5 linked regions of the Oryctolagus cuniculus genome follow. The protein of the gene in region 2 purifies or fractionates together with the protein of the main gene of each other region. This does not show direct contact. Links are inferred from orthologs where the notes say so. Each region holds a gene or a part of one and is shown on either strand. Other genes may lie near its edges.

Region 1 (3,515 bases), on a different chromosome or scaffold from region 2:
AGGCAAGGATCCTGCTCTCTAGAGGCTGTCAGTCCACTGTAGCTTCTGGAGCTGGGCTGTAAGGAGGAGGGACTGGGGCCGGTGTTAAGCAAGATGCCATCGTAACATCCCTCTTGAGCACTGGATTGAGTCCCGGCTGCTCTACTTGCAATCCAGCTCCCTGCTGATGTGCCAGGGAAAACAGCAGATGGCGGCCCAAGTACTCAGACTCCTGCAACCCACATGGGAGACCCAGAAGAAACTTCTGGCTCCTGGCTTTAGCCTGGCACAGCCCCAGCTGTTGTGGGCATTTGGGGAGTGACCCAATGGATAGAAGATCTTTTTGTCCCCTCTCTGTCCATAACTCTGCCTTTCAAATAAAGAAATAAAGGTTAAAAGAAAGGTACTAGTGAAAATTTCTACTGTTACAAAATGTAAGAATATCAGTTCCTTCATACCCAGAAGTAGCACAGACTCTTTTTGTAGAACCATGTAATCAAAATTTTATTCAGAAAATGTGATTCTATGGTATACATTCTGTACTGTTAGCATGTGTGGTGTATGAAAATAGGACATGCCTTTACATTCCTCTTGGTCCCTAACCTGTGCATAATATGTACTCAGTGTACATTTATAGTTTATGTAAGTAAATATTGGAATAAAGAGCCTTGTTCTTTACTTACTATTCTTTGTTCTTTACTTACTATTCTTTGTCCTGTATTGTCTTTTTTTTTTTTTTTTTTTTTTAAGATTTATTTATTTTACTTGAAAGAGTTACACAGAGAGAAGGAGAGGCAGAGAGAGAGAGAGGTCTTCCATCCACTGGTTCATTCCCCAATTGGCTGCAACGGCCGGAGCTGTGGCAATCTAAAGCCAGGAGCCAGGAGCTCCTCTAGGTCTCCCACATGGGTGCAGGGGCCCAAGGGCTTGAGCCATCTTCTGCTGTTTTCCCAGGCCACAGCAGAGAGCTGGATAGGAAGTGGAGCAGCCGGGATTCGAACCAGCGCCCATGTGGGATGCTGGCACTGCAGGCGGCAGCTCCACCCGCTACGCCACAGCGCTGGCCCCCCTGTATTGTATTTTAAACTATTTCTGTTTTCCAAACTCTTCTGTTACCCTTGATCCTTTTATTTCCTCTCATGCAGTTCAGTATATGGAATACAGAGGCTTCTGCTAACTATTTCTGATCTCAGTCCTCTTCCACCCACAGAATGACAGGATGGCCACCCAGTTGGCTGTGAGCATTCGTGTACAAGGAGACAAACGTCTGAGCAGCCTGCGCCGCTGCTGTGCCATTACTCGCTATGATGCTCACAAGATGAGCCAGGATGCCTTTGCTGCCATCAGGAACTGTAATACTTCTGGACTCCAGACTGAATGGTGAGTGTTTTTCCTAGCTCTTCTTCTCAGAAGAAACTTAGGCCTCGTTTTAGCTCTAAAATTGGTGGGCATCTGAGCTCTTCAGCTGGGGGCACTCTTTATAAATCAGTCTAGCAGCACCTATTACGGAGGAGAGTGGCTATCCCTTGGTGCACATGTAGCAACCCCAGAATCAAGGCAGCTCAGCTGCGGCTTCCTTGCCTACAGTTAGTACATTTGAGCTCCCAGGTACAGGTGGTAGGCAGTGAACTGATACTGTCTCTGCCTGTATTCATTCCTATAGTCAGGGAAATGACCGATTGTACTTGGAAAATAGAAGTTTCAACATGACACTTGGGCACTTCTCTCTCAATGACTTTATTGTTCTGTTTTAAAAGCATCTTTCATAACTTATGAAAGTGACCTATTTTCATTGGTAATTTCCACCTAAACATTCCAACTTAGTTACAGGCTCCACTGGTATCATATAAGTGTCACTTCTGCTAGTTATAAAATACAGCCAAATACATGATAAAGCCTCTTTTTGAAGCATGTTCATTTTCTATCCAGATAATAATGGTTTTCAAGCGAATCACTTAAGTTATTGCTTATGTAAATATATCGGTACATTGTTCTGTGTGCAGACATATAATATGATGGGGTCACTGAAGTTAGAGTCTGTGTTCTTAGAATTTACTTTTACTTGCTGGTATATTTGTTTTCAGCAGTTTATTTTGAACAGTTTTACATAACCAGGTGATAACTGTGGTACTGTGTTCATATGAAACCTTCCTTACTTAAAAATGTATGAGTCAGGGCCAGCATTCTGGTACAGATGATTAAGCCATCGCCTGCATTGCTGATATCCTGTATGAGTGCTGGTTCAAGTCCTGGCTGCTCTACTTCCTATCCAGGTCCTTGCTAATGCTCCTGGGAAAGCAGAAGATGGCCTGAATACTTGGGCCCCTGTCAACCATGTGAGAGATTCAGATGGAGTTCCAGGCTCCTGGCTTTGGCCTGACCCAACACTGGGCATTAAAGGCATTTGGGGAGTGAACCAGCAGATGGGAGATCCCTCCATCTCTCCCTTTCTTTCTTTCTTTCTTTTTTTAAGATTTATTTTATTTATTTGAAAGAGTTACAGAGAGAGGTAGAGACAGAGAGAGAGGTCTTTCATCTGCTGGTTCACTCCCCAGATGGCTGCAACAGCCAGAACTGTGCTGATCCGAAGCCAGGAGCCAGGAGCTTCCTCCGGGTCTCCCACATAGGTGTAGGGGCCCAAGGACTTGGGCCATCTTCTACTGCTTTCCCAGGCCATAGCAGAGAGCTGGATCAGAAGAAGAGCAGCCAGGACTAGAACCAGTGCCCATATGCCAGCACTTCAGGCCAGGGCATTAACCTGCTGCACCACAGCGCCGACTCTCTGTCTCTCCCTTTCTATCTCTTTTTAGCTCAGCCTTTCAAACAAATATATAAATCTTTTTTTTAAAAAGATTTATTATTTGAAAGAGTTAAACAGAGAGAGGAGAGGTAGAGAGAGAGAGAGAGATCTTCCATCCATTGGTTCACTCCCCAATTGGCTGCTACAGCTGGAGCTGTGCAGATTTGAAGCCAAGAGGCAGGAGCTTCTTCCTGGGTGTAGAGCCCAGAGACTTGGGCCATCTTCTAATGCTGTCCCAGGCCATAACAGAGAGCTGGATCAGAAGTGGAGCGGCTGCTCCATATGGGATGCCAGTGCTTTAGGCCAGGGCGTTAACCCGCTGCGCCACAGCACCGGCCCCAATAAATCTTTTTTAAAAAATGGGTAAGTTGGGGCCAGTGCTGTGGCGTAAGTGCCGACATCCCATATGGTCTCTGGTTTGAGTCCCTGCTGCTCCACTTCTGATCCAGTTCCCTGCTAATAGCCTGGGAAAGCAGTAGAAGATGGCCCAAGTGCTTGGTCCCCTGCACCCATACAGGAGACCCGGAAGAAGAACCTGGCTCCTGGCTTCAGATCAGCCCAGCTCTGGCCATTGTGGCCACTTGGGAAATAAACCAGTGGATGGAAGATTTCTCAGTCTCTCTCTCCCTCTCCCTCTCTCTCTCTCTTTCTCTAACTCTACCTTTTGAATAAAATAAGTAAATCATTAAAAAAAAATCTATAAGTTACAAGCTATGAAAAATATTCCTCCCCAATA
Region 2 (4,064 bases):
AATAAATAAATCTTAAAAAAAAAAAAAAAAAAAAAAGGCAGGGGTCAGCGTTCACGTTCTAACGCACACTTCTTCAAAGTCGGAAGAGAAATCGACAGCAGCCCAGACCCCGGAGCCTGGGGGCCAGGACAGTCTCGGGAAGCCCCCAGCACCAGGCCAACCGCAAAGCCCAGGGCCCGGAGCTGCCGAGGGCGCCACCACGGCGACCCACAGCCACATGCAGGAGGACTGAAGGGAAACAGGAGGGGACACTAACAGCGGCTCTGTCTGACGCTAAGGTCACCAGCAGTGTTCCTTGGCTCCTTCTTTATGCCAGTCTGAATTGTTATTATTTTTAATGTGGACACATCTTATATTTATAATGTGTCCCAATCAAAAAAAAAGCTTATTACAGCCAAACCAGGGAAATAAACAGTAACACGCCCTAGTCTCCCGTTACTCTGCGGGACGGCTACTTCAGGGACACCGAGAGCACTGCGGGAGGCGCCGGGCAGAGGCAGCCTCTCGGGCTCTCAGGCTCCCTCGCACAACCCTCGGCTGCGGGAGGGCAGGGCCGGAGCTACCGCGACACTCGCCACACGCATGCCAATGCATGCCACACACACACCACACACAAACCACATGTGTGCCACACATACGCCACGCCACACGCATGCCATGCATGCACCACATGCATGCCACACGTGCCTCACAACATACATGCCTGGAGGGGACGGGGACAGCCAGCAGGCGTCCCGGGGGAGCCTGCGTTTGGAGACAGTGACCGGGAGCACAGGATGCGAGGACAACTCAACAACTACAGAAAGTCCTGGGGACAACAGCGCCCTTTGCAACGTGCTTGGACACTGTGGACTTCTCAGAAACACGTGCACGCAGGCACCACGTCTCGCTGCGGGTCTGCGTGAGTGACAGCTGCACGCAGCACTGGAGGAACCAGGGCAGCTCCTGGGTTCTGTCCCTGGACGCGCGACAACACGGCCGGGACACCAGAGGGCGCTGGTTTCCGCCTTCAGAACCCGCAGGAGGCCAGCGAGCTCGGCTGGGCGCAGTCAACCGGGGCTGAGCTCTGAGAGCGCTCGGTGTCCGACTCCACCCACCGGGGACGCGGAGCCCGGCCCAGGATCCCTCTCCACCCACCGGGGACGCGGAGCCCGGCCCAGGATCCCTCTCCATCCACCGGGGACGCGGAGCCCGGCCCAGGGTCCCTCTCCATCCACCGGGGACGCGGAGCCCGGCCCCGGGGTCCCGCTCCATCCACCGGGGGACGCGGAGCCCGGCCCGGGGGTCCCTCTCCACCCACCGGGGACGCGGAGCCCGGCCCAGGATCCCTCTCCATCCACCGGGGACGCGGAGCCCGGCCCGGGGGTCCCTCTCCACCCACCGGGGACGCGGAGCCCGGCCCCGGGGTCCCTCTCCATCCACCGGGGACGCGGAGCCCGGCCCAGGATCCCTCTCCACCCACCGGGGACGCGGAGCCCGGCCCCGGGGTCCCTCTCCACCCACCGGGGACGCGGAGCCCGGCCCCGGGGTCCCGCTCCATCCACAGGGGACGCGGAGCCCGCTCTGAACAGCTTGAATAGGGTTACAGAACAGGCAAGTCCGCAGGGCTGCCGCGCGGGTCCCTGTTCTCTCGCCAACGCAGCCCTGCCGGCAGCACCAAGCACGCCTTAGGTGCTAACGCTTACCTCGCCCGGCACCCTCGATCCACCCGTGCAGGATTCTGAGCACCTGCTAAGCCTGGGTCGCTACCAACACTCGTCAGCCTACACCACCCGTCCCACAACCCCCTGAGTACACTCAGACTCATAGGGGCCACAATGAACCAGGGCCACTGGACCCCGAACCCACGCCTTCGTCCCCTGCACCTCAGCTGCACGGCCTGGTCCGCCCCTGTGTGCCCCGTCCACTCGGGGCTATCTCAGGCCACCCCGTCAGTCACTGCCGGGATACCCCAGGTCCCGGCAGCGACGTCAGCAAAGGCCCTGGGTGACCGCAGCCGCCCCCAGGTCCCTCTGCGGAGCCCACGGGGCAGACCCACAGCCCCCCCCCCCCCCCCCGGGTAGACCCAAGCGCAGAGGGAGGCGGCCTCACAAACACAAAGGACGAGAGGCAGGGCGAGGCCGCCCCGGCGAGCTGCACCTGCCCTGGAGCGCATCCTGCAGGAGTCCTGGGCCGTGCACGGACACCGGGGGCAAACCTAACCGAGGTCCACTCAACCCACGGCCGGCGCCGGGCTGAGGCCCCGATCTCCGGTTAGGAGAGACAGGGAGACGGGCCGCTGCTGGGGGCAGGCTTCGGGGCTGCGGCCGGGAGCAGAGGGCGCGCACGAGCAGCAGGAGGGAAGCCGGCTGCTCTCCCGCGCGCGGAGATCGTCACGTGAGGCCGCGCACACGGGAGCCCACGGCAAGGCCGGGCCGCCACTGTCGCGCCCACGGCTGCCCGCCATGCCGCTGCCGGCATCGCACCGCGCGACGGCCACCCTCCCGGCTCGCCGCGACACACCAACGCCCGTCCCTGTCACTTCTCAGCGGAGGACGCTCGGGCCCAGAGCCGCGCGCCCGGCGACCGGCAGGGCACAGCCGGGCACCCGGCCCCGCTCGCCGCTCGCGCCCCGTCGTCGCCCCTCTCCGGGCCCCAAGGAGCCCTCACCTTCATGACTGCCAGGCCCGGCGGCCACCGAGGCTCGGCCAGGGAGTCCATGGTCACTCCCGAGGATGCTGGGGGTCGGCCGCCCGCTGGCCTCCCGCGCTGCGCTCCCACTCGAAATTCCCCGCGCTATTGAGCTACGTCAGCAGAGCGCGCCGCGGCCGAGACGCGCGCGGGGCCTGCCGGGAGTTGTAGTAGGTGGGCGGAGCGTGGGCCGGGCCGTTCGTACTGCGCACGCGCCGGGCGTCTTCCTGCCAGGCGCTGGTGAGGAGAGCCGGGAGCCGGGTCGGTGCAGCGGGTGAAGTCCCCGCCCGCGGGCGCTGGCGGCCGCTGTGGCTGCCCCGTTCCTGAGCCCACGCCTTGCCAATCCTCCTGGAAAAGCCGCAGGAGATGGCCCGGTGTCCGGGTCCCTGCTCCCGGGTCACCCAGACGGTCACGGGCTCTTGGCCGCGCTGGCCCAGGCCTGGCCCTCTGGGGAGTGACCAGGGACGGAGGACCTCTCTGTCTCTCCCTCTCAAATAAAAAGAACCGTGAAAAGACTCGTTCCCGCTTTGACAGGAGGGGGCGGGGTCTGGTTTACTCTCCCAGGACGGGCTGTGCCCCAGGGAGATGGCGGCTGCGGCTGCGACTCAGCTGACACAGGAGTGGAACGTCCAGGAGAGGCCCCTCTGCAGCCGGTCTCGGGGAGACCACAGCCATCGAGGTCAGGGCCCGCGCTGTCCGGCCCAGGTGCACCTGCTGCCCACAGGCAAAATGCAGAGGGGGTGAGGGTGGTCGTCCTGGTGCAGGGGGTGCACGCTGGAGGCGGGCGCCCAGCAGAGGCCCCCTGCTGTGCTGTCCTGGGACGCGGGAGCCCCGGGGAGCCCCACCCCAGACAGTGGAGCTGAATCCAAGTTACTGCCGGTGAGGCCCGGGGGCAGGGGCCGCAGCGGCCTGAGAGGCGAGGAAAACGCTGGGCAGACGCAGGGAGCCCGGCTGCAGACAACGAGCGGAAGTTCAGGGAGCCGTGACGTCACCCCGGAGCCGTGACGTCACCCCAGAGCCGTGCCGCCCGGGAAAGACGCTCAGGAGCTGCCACACCCGTCGATGGCCTCATTTGGGCCCTGATTTGAAAAAACAACTTTAAATGACATTTCTGGAACAGTCAAGGAACTGTGAATGTGAGTGGTGCATTTGTCATATTGGGCAGTTATCACTGATTTGGTCAGTGTGGTTTGGGATGGTCCCTGTGTAGAAAATGTCATTTTTAGAGGTGGGCCGGTTGAGATGTGATGTCATTGGTTTACTTGAATCTCTAAAAAGTCAAAGGAAACTTTGGGAACAAAAAGTAATTGTTAAATCTCGAAGAGCGACACGGTTATTAATTAATCAGTCTGTGTCCTGTGAGCTTGAAACAATTCGTAATGGAAATTAGGGGT
Region 3 (3,515 bases), on a different chromosome or scaffold from region 2:
GCTCCTGGCTTCGCATCGGCCCAGCTCTGGCCTTTGCGGCCATCTGGGGAGTGAACCAGCAGATGGAAGATTCTCTCTCTCTCTCTCTCTCTCTCTCTCTGCCTCTCCTTCTCTCTCTGTGTAACTCTGACTTTCAAATAAATAAAATAAATCTTTAAAAAAGAAACAGACTTTTCATGTTTTACTGAAAATGGTATATTATATTATATGTCATGATGTATTGGGGAGACATGATTTAACTTACTAAGTTTTTTTTTAATTTTTAGGATGAATTATTTATTATAGCATTCTTTTAATCCTCAGGCTAGATGAACTGCAGAAGCAGCTACAAGAAGATATAAGGCAGGGCCGAGGCATTAAATCCCCAATCAGAATCGGAGATCAAGATAGTACAGATGATGAAGATGGCCTCTTGGAAGAACACAGGTATGGTATTTTTTATAATGTATGTATGTCATTTTACAGTTTTTGTTTTTTGGCCGGCACCGTGGCTCACTAGGCTAATCCTCCGCCTTGCAGCGCCAGCACACCGCGTTCTAGTACCGGTTGGGGCACCGGATTCTGTCCCAGTTGCCTCTCTTCCAGGCCAGCTCTCTGCTGTGGCCAGGGAGTGCAGTGGAGGATGACCCAAGTACTTGGGCCCTGCACCCCATGGGAGACCAGGATAAGTACCTGGCTCCTGCCATCGGATCAGTGCGGTGCGCCGGCCGCAGCGCACCAGCCGTGGCGGCCATTGGAGGGTGAACCAACGGTAAAGGAAGACCTTTCTCTCTGTCTCTCTCTCTCTCTCTCTCACTGTCCACTCTGCCTGTCAAAAAAAATAAAATATAATTTTTGTTTTTTTGTAAAATAAATAGGCCTTTGATGATTATTTCCTTCATGAATCTTTACTGGGTTTCTAATCGTCTGTGATGGTATTAAAAGGCAAATGTTAGAGGCAAGTTACGCCTTTTCTTTTGTACTGATTATTGTTCCTTCTCATAAGAGACAAAAATTGGGAGCAGCAAAGCATACTTTTTCTCCGGCTGGTCGTCTAACCTGGGATTAACATTGGACGTAAAGTTTTCTTTGCACCCAACTTTTAAGTACAAAACCATGTGCAGTATAACTATTTGGTATTCAAGTAACATGTTTTATGTTTCAGGGAATTTCTAAAGAAATTTTCAGTTACAATTGATGCTATTCCTGATCATCATCCAGGTGAAGAAATATTTAATTTCCTTAATTCTGGAAAAATTTTCAATCAGTATACCTTGGATTTAAGAGACTCTGGTTTTATCGGACAAAGTGCTGTAGAAAAGCTTATTCTTAAGTAAGTAGAAATTAACATTATATCTTTTTCTCTATAAAAATTATTTTAAAAGACTTCTGACCAATGTAATTTTCCGGTTTCCTAATCCTTTTTTGCCCTTTATGATATTTTACTTAATTATAGGAAGCAGGATAGGAAAGTTGACATGCTTTTATTAGTTAGGATTAAGATCCATAAATAGCAGTGACTGTCAGAGTAAAAGGAGCTTAAACAAGAGTTTATTTCTTTCTTAAGTTAAAGAAGGGTAAGAGGTATAAAGTCTAGGGCCAGTATGTTGGTTTCACTATTCTTTTTCTCTGTCATTCTTTTTTTTTTTTTTATGTAAGATTTTATTTATTTATTTTGAGAGGCAGAGTTACAGACAGTGAGAGGAAGAGACAGCCCTGCTCCAGCTGTTAGCCATCTGGGGTGTGAACCAGTGGATGGAAGATTCTCTCTGCCTCTGCCTCTCTGTTTTTTGTTTGTTTTGTTTTTGTTTTTGTTTTGACAGAGTTAGTGAGAGAGAGACCGAGACAGAGAGAAAGGTCTATCCTTCCATTGGTTCACCCCCCAAATGGCCGTTATAGCTGGCGTGCCACGCCGATCCGAAGCCAGGAGCCAGGTGTTTCCTCTTGGTCTCCCATGTAGGTGCAGGGCCCAAGCACTTGGGCCATCCTCCACTGCCTTCCCAGGCCACAGCAGAGAGCTGGACTGGAAGAGGAGCAACCAGGACAGAACTGGCGCTCCAACTGGGACTAGAACCCGGAGTGCCGGTGCTGCAGGTGGAGGATTAGCCTAGTGAGCCACAGCACCGGCCTGCCTCTGCCTCTCTGTAACTCTGCCTTTCAAATAAGTAAATAAAGTTTAAAAAAAAAAAAGCAAAATTAGATGTTAGTATAGACAAGTAATCTCAACCACAAACCAGATGTTAGTATGGATAAGTAATCTCTACCTAGCTAGTCTGATTTCTCTAGGTACTTGATATCTTAGAGCTAGAGAGATCATATCAGTTCTGGTGCTGAGTTTTACGAAACAGCGTTCTGCAAGCTAGCAAAAGCAGAGGAGGTCCTAAGATTTTATAGGCTCTTTCAACACTGCCAACAAATGTAGCGTTGCCTACTAGACAGGCGTGAAGCTGAAATAATAGATCGCATCAGCTTTATGCCATCAGTTGAATTTGTTTTGTGAGTAACCTGTCTATATTGGTGTGGGATCCACCTACACAGGATGATTCGCTTTTTATTGTCTTGATTGTGTCAGATGTGGTGGTAGTAGAAATGCTTTGCCATGAAAGTAATAGTCATTGATTTCACTTTATTTTTTCAGATCAGGAAAAACAGATCAGATTTTTTTGACAACACAAGGCTTCCTCACCTCTGCTTATCATTATGTCCAGTGTCCTGTACCTGTGTTAAAGTGGCTATTTCGGGTAAGAGAAATGTTTGGAGGGTTATAGTTGCCTGCTACTGTATTTCCCAGTCAAAAGCAAGTTTTTATATGTAATTTTACTTGCATATGCCTAGGAGAAAATTAATATATCAAACCCGTGATTTCAGTGGATTAGAATATACAAAAGGAGTCTGAATGCATTTAAAGGAAATGTTAATACAGATAGTATGCAGGATAGTCAATAAAGTTATATGTGTCTGAGGCACTTCATCACACCAGTAAATCACTGTTACAGTTAGTTTTAGAAAGGATCTTCAAATGCTTACATTCCCTAAATTTTGTTTTATTTCTAGGGGTACCAATATTCATTTTCAGGGATTTTATTGTATACTAATATTTCCCCATTCGTTCATATGTGTGTGTGTGTGTGTGTGTGTAAATCCAACTGTTTCTCTTTTTTCTATTTATATTTTCTACTTAAATCCACTTGAATATCTTAATTTTTATTTTTAAGTGTAACTTTTAAAAATATAGATGATATTGATTTTATATGTAGAGTCCTGGTATTACTCTAGGTACTTTGTCCCTTTAGGCAAACGACATCATTAATATAGAAGTATTGTATCATCCAATTTAGGGTTAAATGCAGTACATCCTAGAAGAGCTAGGAAGCTATGGAGAGGGACTTTTTGACTAGCTGCTACATCAGCAAGTACTATGATGATGCTCAGTTGGAATTAGCCTCCTCCCATATTCAAAGAAGATTATGAATGACAAGTTATTCCCAGGTTGTGAGAGTGTTCCACTTTAATAAAATTCTGAATGTATGAAAAGC
Region 4 (4,125 bases), on a different chromosome or scaffold from region 2:
AGCACTCAGCCAAGTTTGAGAAGCCTTGTTATGGATAACCAGATGCCTACTAAAATCATTGTTTTTCCTCCCAAAAGATACAATATTAGAAAAAATGGCTGCCTGGCTTAGTTATGGTCCCATTACGAGTTCTAGCCAAAGGAATGTGAGTAGAAATAATATGTGCCATATTTCTTAAAACAATCTTTTAACAGGTATGATTGAACCAGAACATACTCCTTCATTTTTTTTATGTCCACTGGTAAGGCTCATCCAGTATCACTGAAATTATGTACAGTGCTATTATTTGCAATAATGTTTGCTTTCAACCTGATTCTTCTATCATTAGAGCCTTAGGGTAATTATCATTGATATTAAGTTGGGAAAAGTAAATACCAGCGTTTCCAGCAAAGCCCTCCCTTTGTCCAGTTCTCAACAAATATCTGTGATATTTGCCCTCACTCCCCAATCTGGTTTTTGATCAATATCCAGGGATAATTTCTTGAATCAAAGGAAATATTATTTAGTCAAAGATACTTATACCCAAAATGAAAATTGGCAAAATAAGTCAAGTACTGGTGAGATTCTGTATTTTAACCATATCCCATATCCTTCAGGTTTTCTTCAGAGCTCAAGGATCACATATCTTAAGGTTCTACTTCTTCCTCTTCTGCAAATATCAGCGTTTGTGTAAAATGTAATTATGCAAAGTTACTGGTATGGACCCAGTCTTCCCTGAGAGCCTTTTATTACCACAGAAGTTGTGTTAAAGGTCTCTGCTACTTGATCCCAAAGGCTGTAGTGTTCCTTTTGAACTACCTGAAATCTGGGCACTAACAGTATCCTATTCAGTGTTGTACTTTCAATGCCTGGTCAGTCAGGATGTAAATGATACAAAATATAAGGCGAGACAAAGATCTCTAACTTCCTGAATATCTTCCCCATTTTAAGGACCTAAAGGTCCTTATATTGTTTTCAGGCGAAATCTCTTATTCACGTTCTAGAAGACCACAAGTATTATGATACTTTGCTTTATTGTTTATGGCCCAAAATGAGGCAGAGAATATTGAGTGAAGTATCTCCAGCAAAACAGAGTGCCAGAAAAATAAACGCAAATGTTTACATTGCTAAGACAACAAGTGAATCTCAATTAAACTTAAATTTTGATTCCTTTCCCTCCAAATTACCTCTTCATTAAGACACATACAAATCCTGAATTATAACAAATCCATGGTAGACCTGGGTTTGGGCTATCAAGGCACCAAGAAGTCTACATTTGCCACACTGAGGTGCACAGCATTACTTTATGCAAGAGAAGTCCAATTATTTCTGAAACCTGAAAAGCTCTTAATGCCCTCGCATTATCACAATCTGTTTCTTTTCTGTGTTGATTACTCGGGCTAATTGAGAGTATTCTCATCTACTGAACTCTAAATTAATATTAGATATAAGTTTGAAAAATGTCTTACTAACAAGCTTTGTCACCAGCAGATTGCTTCCCCCAAATTCTAACTGAAACTCTTAATAAAAGATTTGGTTTAATAGTAGTGTAAGTGCACTCATTTTGAGCTGGGCAAAAGATAAGAGTATCTTTCAAGAGCAAACCACTGGACTCTCAATGTCGGGCTTGTTTTGTTAACCGGGCCTTGAAACCTCTAGGAAGTGCGGGTTATCCCAATACTGCTCAGCTTCCCGCAGGGTCCCTGATCCCAAGCCAAGCACCGCTTTCTGTGATGGCACAGATATTGTGTATTGTTTCTATTCAGGGGAGTTCCACCGTCCCTGCTTACTGCCCACTGGAATCGTTTAAAATAGCAGTAACGACTTTAAAACTATTTCATTTTGTTCCGTTACAGCCCCAAATCAATTTAAGTACAACTAGGAAAACGCCAAACGAAGATTTCTACCTTGTACTAAGCTTCCTGGGAAAAGACAGAAGCTGAATGATCATCATTTAAGACAGACAGTGACAACCGTCTTCGTTCATAAACCCAACATCTTTCACGGCGTCGAAACGTGCAATGCCCAGGGTGGTTCTGGAAGCCAGTGTCACCCGTCTGATTTCCACGAGAACTTTCCAGTGGGAGTAACTTACAAGCCTCGCCTTTCACTATGTGCAATCCGGTGCACCCAAAAGCTAGGCGGCTGCCCAGCTCTGCCTCAGAGGCTTATCTGCTCGACTCCAGGGATACCCGCTCGGTTATCTCCCCTAAGATGCAAAAGCGGATGCGAGAGTCGGAGCCGCGCTGTCAGCGGCCGACCGCTCCCAGCAGGCCGGGCAGACCCCGGCGAGGCCGAGGGGCGCGACCATGGACACTGCAGCGGGGCTCCCGCACAACACACCGCAGGCCCCAGTCTATCCGGAGCAGCAGAACCTCCCTCCCCACCGCCCCCGCTTTTAGGAAAGCCGCGGAGGCCCGAGGCCCGCGAGCCGGGGACGGGGACGCCAGGAGACTCGCGCAGCGGCTTCCTCTCCATCCAAAAGCTTCCCCGGCTCCAGGACAGCCCCCGTCCTCCCTCCGGGGCCCGGAGAGGCCGGAGACGTCTTCCTCCCCCGACCTCTGACCTCTGACCCTCCATCACCCAAGCGCTCACCCAAGCTGCTTCTCCAAATACTTGAGTGGGTGTGCACCGGGTCCGGAACCCGCTAATGCTCCCTCAGAGTCCAGGCATTCATTCGCTACGCACGGAGCATCCGCCCTATGTGGGCACGCGCGTTGTGTGTTGTGTTGTGGCCTCCGGGGGCCCAGAAGCCACAGCGCTTAGCTGCCGGGCGCGCGCAGGAGCGTGAGGTCAAGGTGAACGCGCACGTCGGGCGCCCCGCCCCTTTCCTCCCTTCTCGGCTTCTAGAGCCTCTTTTGCGCAAGTACAGTTGGAGTCTCGCGATAGCTATGCCGCACATTAATGAAGACAGGATTGGCTGACGTCCAGAAGAAAGAGGCGGGACAGTAAGCAAATATAGGCAGCATCGCAGGGGCGGGGTTCTGCTTGCCGCCGGAAGCAAGAGGTAGTTAAATCATTTGTATATTTAGTAAGAAAGCAGAAAAGAATTCTCCAGAACTTATCTACTTAATTACTTCAAGAAAGAAGTGACTTATTAGGTGCGAATGAAGCATGCCTCTCTTAAAAAACATTTGTTAAGATTTACGAAGGAAATGTGAGGAAATATTTTTAAATAAGAATTCTGCTGAAGCTAGCCTTCCATCATCTTAGTTTTAAAGTTTCTGTTTTCTCCTCCCACCTCTTACAGAAGGAAACTTTCGCTTAGTTAACTTTGGTATAACTCTGGAAGGTTTTACAAAAGCCTGTAAATTAACTTCCGGGAAATATTAGGCAGTCAGTCAGTGAGTGTGTACCTAATAAGGACTCAACATTTATACTTTGGCGCGGGGCGTCTCAGATGTGTGTGATTCCAGAAGAGCTAAAGTAACTGCTTGCCTAACACGACCTCCTGTGCTGTGGAAACAATCTAGAGGAGCCCTTTTCCTGCTTATCACAGACCCCAACAGCCTGAAAGACTCTATTTACATAATCTAAAACCTGTCAAACTAGACAAATCAATTGCACTATCCAAAGTTTCATGAGACAAGTTTGGAAAACTGCTAACGCTGTGACAGTGGACAAGCAGGATTCTTCTTCATTAAGGAATTGATCATTTCCCCAAATACATGATGCAATGAAACCTTTGTTCCACGGTGTGATAAGGAACTGGGTATTTAAACAAATATTATGCTAAAAAATGTTATCCTTGATAGCTTTATCACTTCTCACCATTGGAGGAGTGAAGTGGGCTCATGGATTGTCTGAAATATTTGGCTTCTGATGACAGGCAGAAATAGTTAAAAAAAAATAGCACAGCATCTTTATTCACCTGGCTTGGGGTTACTTACAGACATAATTTCGTTAACACTGTGCAGGATATTAAACTGCAGATCAAATTGCAAATTCTGTGATGTGATTGCATTATAGACATAGAATTCTAGGCTCTACCTTCCAGTGGTTACAATGAAACAAAATTCTCCCTTATGTTCAATCTGGTATTTGCCAACTACCCTGTACATCCATTGAGAAATTTCCCTATGGAAGAATGTTTTTCAGGTTTAGAATTACCAGAGCTCATTTCAGAAATCATGGTTCACTTTTGCA
Region 5 (3,515 bases), on a different chromosome or scaffold from region 2:
AAATTTAGTCTATTGTGACAAATAAGGCAACTGGTATTGGTGGTACAAAATTAAATGTACAAGGACACAAAGGAACATTAAAGGATGATGAGAATGTTACAGATCTTGATTACAGTGAGGGAAATATGAGTGTATAAGCTTGCCTAAATTATCAAAATGTATACTTAAAAGGGATATATCTTACTATCCATAAATTATATTTCAGAGACAAAAAAACAAATCACTACCTCCTGCCTCTGGCAAAAATGACAGAAGTTTTAAAATTTAGTTTATCCAACAAGGTGGCTTTTAAAAAATATATACAGAGGGGCCAGTGCTATGGCGCAACGGGTTAAAGCCCTGGTCTACAGTGCCAGCACGTTGAGTCCTGGCTGCTTCACTTCTGACTCAGCTCTCTGCTTTTGCCTGGGAAAGCAGAAGGTGGCCCAAGTCCTTGGGTCCCTGCACCCATGTGGGAGACCCAGAAGAAGCTCCTGGCTCCTGCTTCAGATTGGCGCAGCTCCAGCAATTGTGGCCAACTGGGGAGTGAACCAGCGGATGGAAGATCTCTCTCCCTCCCTCCCTCCCTCCCTCTCTCCTCTCTCTCTCTCTCTCTCTCTACCTCTCCTTCTCTGTGTAACTCTTTCAAATAAATAATAAATCTTTTAAAAAAAATCTATATATAAAAAAAGAATGAGATTAAATTATAGTGGAAACAGTATAAATCATGAAGACAGCACTACATAAATGCACAATAAAGCCTTAAATATTATGTAATATCTTACAAGCAAAAATCTTAAGAGCTTCGAAACTAAAAAAACTTGCAATTATTGTTTATTTTGAGATGTACAGAAGAAATAACATGGGAAGTAAAACATACACTGTAATACAGATTTTGTTCTATTAAACACACAAAAACTTAAAAGTGATGGCTTAGAGATCAAAGAGTAAATTACCATGGCTCCCAAGTTTTAAGCTAAGAATTTCAGAGCTATACAAAGGTATTCATACAAATCATAGCTGTTTTCTCATCCTTGCTTTAGCTTTTATGAGCTTTCATCATACCTTATAAGAGAATCACTTCGTTTATCAGCTCTCACAAGGAGGACAACCTTCCACCTGTGGAAGGCTCCTGGAGCACCAGTGCGTTTCAGTTCTTCTCGCCACCTTTTAGGTGCAGATTGCATTTGAGGTGAATAATGGGAGTCTTTTTCAATTTTATATCCCCATTCATAAGTGGTTTCATCAAGCCATCTTCCACTTCTGGCACTATGAATTATGTAGTCCTTTGTTAGTACCCACTTTCCTAGAATGCAAAAAAAACTGTCCATCACAAAATAATTTTGGTTTTGATGGATGATAAACAATAAAAATCAAGCCATCAAGAAAAAGTCAACCTGTTCAACATCAGATTCTTCATCCAAATTGTTTTATTTTTGTTTTTCTAAATTTTTGATTGTAACAGGTCTACAGCATCAATGAACATAGTATGTAATCTTTCCCATGACAATTCAAAATCTAAATACTGTTAAATCTAAAGCTTTAAAATTCAAAATAAAATGTCATTATATTTTATTATTGTGATTATTTACTATTTGGGCTAACTTTATATTTTTAATTATATGCTAAAAACTCTTCCAATAATGTTTACAGCACTGCTAAACCCTGTAAAACAAATCTATCAAGTTAGAGAAATTTTCAGGGCATTTAATAATATGCTGCAGTTTCTTTACCCAGACATCAATAACCGTTTTAAACAATGTATTCTTTCATTTGTGGAGCTGAGAAATCCAAGTGGTTTTATTCTAAATTAAACTACAAATACGTTTCTGTTAGTGTACAAACTTACTGAATGGTAAAAAAGGAAGAAAGAAGAATAAGTCATAACTTGGGCCTATAAAATTTACTATCTAATAACATAAATGTACGACCACTGTTACAAAGCATGGAAAGGTGGGGAAACTCAGGAGGGAAAACAAAACATAAAATTATTCCAAGAATGGACCAAGAAAAGAAAGTTGATTGAGAACAGATCAGTCTTCAACAAAGGCTTAAGATGTTGGCATTCTGCACTAACCTTTTTGTTACAACCTGTTTTTCTTAAATAAAGCACTTACACCAAACCTTTGGTAAAGTACATATTTTTGCCTATTTTACATTTTTCATGTGGTAGAACATTTTACTTCTGAATACAACAAAAAATACATATTTTCAGAAACAAATTTATATTTGGTGTAATGAACACATTATTGTTTCAGAGATTAGGATACTTTTTCTTTAACATGCAGTTTGTTTAAAGGGTTGGAGGCAAGGCAGTTCACTTACCAGCTGCACAAGCTGCTAAAAATTTTTCACTCTTACAAAGACGTTCAGCTATAAGATGTGTACAATTTTTGTATTTCTGAAAGGAAAAATCCACATAAATATTAGAGATTTCCTTAACAACAAATCCTTTACATTTTTAAAATACCAAGCAGCATTTTATTATTGTCAGTATTTTAATTCTCTTTCAATTATACTTTTAACATTTTGATGAGTTAAGCTTCTGTACTTACCTCACTCTTAATAAAAGTGCAATCTAGTTTTAAAAGCAATTTGCCTAGAGCTTCCTTTTCTTCCATCTTAAATCCTGTCATCTGGATTACATGCTTTGGGGCATCATCTTCCATCTAATGTACAGACACATACAGAAAACATATGTTAAAGACATTATTCACAGAGACGACACTCTGACTACTAAATATAAAAACATTAAAACCATTTCACACACAATAAACATGTAAGGCTTAATTGTAAATACTTTATGGGCTGCCAAAGCAAACACATGGCCATTCTACTATATTATAAATACTATCAAATAAAAATGTACAGAAAGCAACGAAAAAAAAAAACTGCTGTAATGCTATCACAAAAAGTTTTCTATAAAAGTTATCTTCTGAATTTCACTATGTTTCTTGAGAGTTAAATATTATATAGAAATGCAACAAAAACCCCACCATATTATATTCCTCTTTTTAGATGAATAATTGCTGTTTTTATAATCTGAATGCTTATTAACAGAGTAACATTTAAACATGTTTGGTTTAATTTAAAAATTATTAAATTACTTGGACATACTGGAGTCAGTGTAAAGTTTTCATTTTCAAGTCATATTGTCTTTATAATAGGAATAAATATGATGGAAAAATCTAAGTTATTAGTAGCACTTTTGGTCAAAGTATGAACCCAGAGTAAATGAAAACATGACCAACTGTGTACAATAGTGGAAATCAAGAAAGTCTTCTTAGAGCAATTTCTTTCCTTTTAAAATGATTAAATATGAAAGTGAAATTAAACTTGCAAAGAGTAAAGGGAAATAAGAAACACAGGCACAAAAAAACAGGATGTCCTGATTCAAACACTCTAAACACATAAATCATCTACTTCAGTAACAACGTTTATAATAACTTAGTAATGTTTTTAAAACATCATATGACAAACTAATGGTCTAAATCACAGATCAAATTTATAATTAGGAAAAGTGGTATCTATAAATA

What was found.
Region 1: the proteins of RAD18 (region 2) and POLH purify together in Homo sapiens (affinity purification with western blotting; 7 studies listed by BioGRID, with this or other methods). This does not show direct contact. The link is inferred for Oryctolagus cuniculus from reciprocal best matches to the Homo sapiens genes RAD18 and POLH.
Region 3: the proteins of RAD18 (region 2) and SLF2 purify together in Homo sapiens (affinity purification with mass spectrometry; 3 studies listed by BioGRID and IntAct, with this or other methods). This does not show direct contact. The link is inferred for Oryctolagus cuniculus from reciprocal best matches to the Homo sapiens genes RAD18 and SLF2.
Region 4: the proteins of RAD18 (region 2) and SHPRH purify together in Homo sapiens (affinity purification with western blotting; 3 studies listed by BioGRID and IntAct, with this or other methods). This does not show direct contact. The link is inferred for Oryctolagus cuniculus from reciprocal best matches to the Homo sapiens genes RAD18 and SHPRH.
Region 5: the proteins of RAD18 (region 2) and SLF1 purify together in Homo sapiens (affinity purification with mass spectrometry; 4 studies listed by BioGRID and IntAct, with this or other methods). This does not show direct contact. The link is inferred for Oryctolagus cuniculus from reciprocal best matches to the Homo sapiens genes RAD18 and SLF1.

Annotation. Positions count from the first base shown.
Region 1 is NC_091436.1:126,462,349-126,465,863, reverse strand, and holds part of POLH (DNA polymerase eta), read left to right. Parts: intron 1-1,189; coding exon 1,190-1,359; intron 1,360-3,515. UniProt on the Homo sapiens protein: DNA polymerase specifically involved in the DNA repair by translesion synthesis (TLS). Due to low processivity on both damaged and normal DNA, cooperates with the heterotetrameric (REV3L, REV7, POLD2 and POLD3) POLZ complex for complete bypass of DNA lesions.
Region 2 is NC_091441.1:117,583,823-117,587,886, reverse strand, and holds the start of RAD18 (E3 ubiquitin-protein ligase RAD18), read right to left. Parts: upstream 2,814-4,064; 5' UTR 2,701-2,813; coding exon 2,650-2,700; intron 2,233-2,649; exon of another isoform or gene 2,140-2,232; intron 1-2,139. UniProt on the Homo sapiens protein: E3 ubiquitin-protein ligase involved in postreplication repair of UV-damaged DNA. Postreplication repair functions in gap-filling of a daughter strand on replication of damaged DNA.
Region 3 is NC_091446.1:28,940,956-28,944,470, reverse strand, and holds part of SLF2 (SMC5-SMC6 complex localization factor protein 2), read left to right. Parts: intron 1-303; coding exon 304-426; intron 427-1,144; coding exon 1,145-1,312; intron 1,313-2,617; coding exon 2,618-2,720; intron 2,721-3,515. UniProt on the Homo sapiens protein: Plays a role in the DNA damage response (DDR) pathway by regulating postreplication repair of UV-damaged DNA and genomic stability maintenance.
Region 4 is NC_091436.1:22,333,618-22,337,742, reverse strand, and holds the start of SHPRH (E3 ubiquitin-protein ligase SHPRH), read right to left. Parts: upstream 2,816-4,125; 5' UTR 2,575-2,815; intron 2,470-2,574; exon of another isoform or gene 1,887-2,469; intron 1-1,886. UniProt on the Homo sapiens protein: E3 ubiquitin-protein ligase involved in DNA repair.
Region 5 is NC_091445.1:17,190,674-17,194,188, reverse strand, and holds part of SLF1 (SMC5-SMC6 complex localization factor protein 1), read right to left. Parts: intron 2,649-3,515; coding exon 2,535-2,648; intron 2,381-2,534; coding exon 2,305-2,380; intron 1,286-2,304; coding exon 1,045-1,285; intron 1-1,044. UniProt on the Homo sapiens protein: Plays a role in the DNA damage response (DDR) pathway by regulating postreplication repair of UV-damaged DNA and genomic stability maintenance.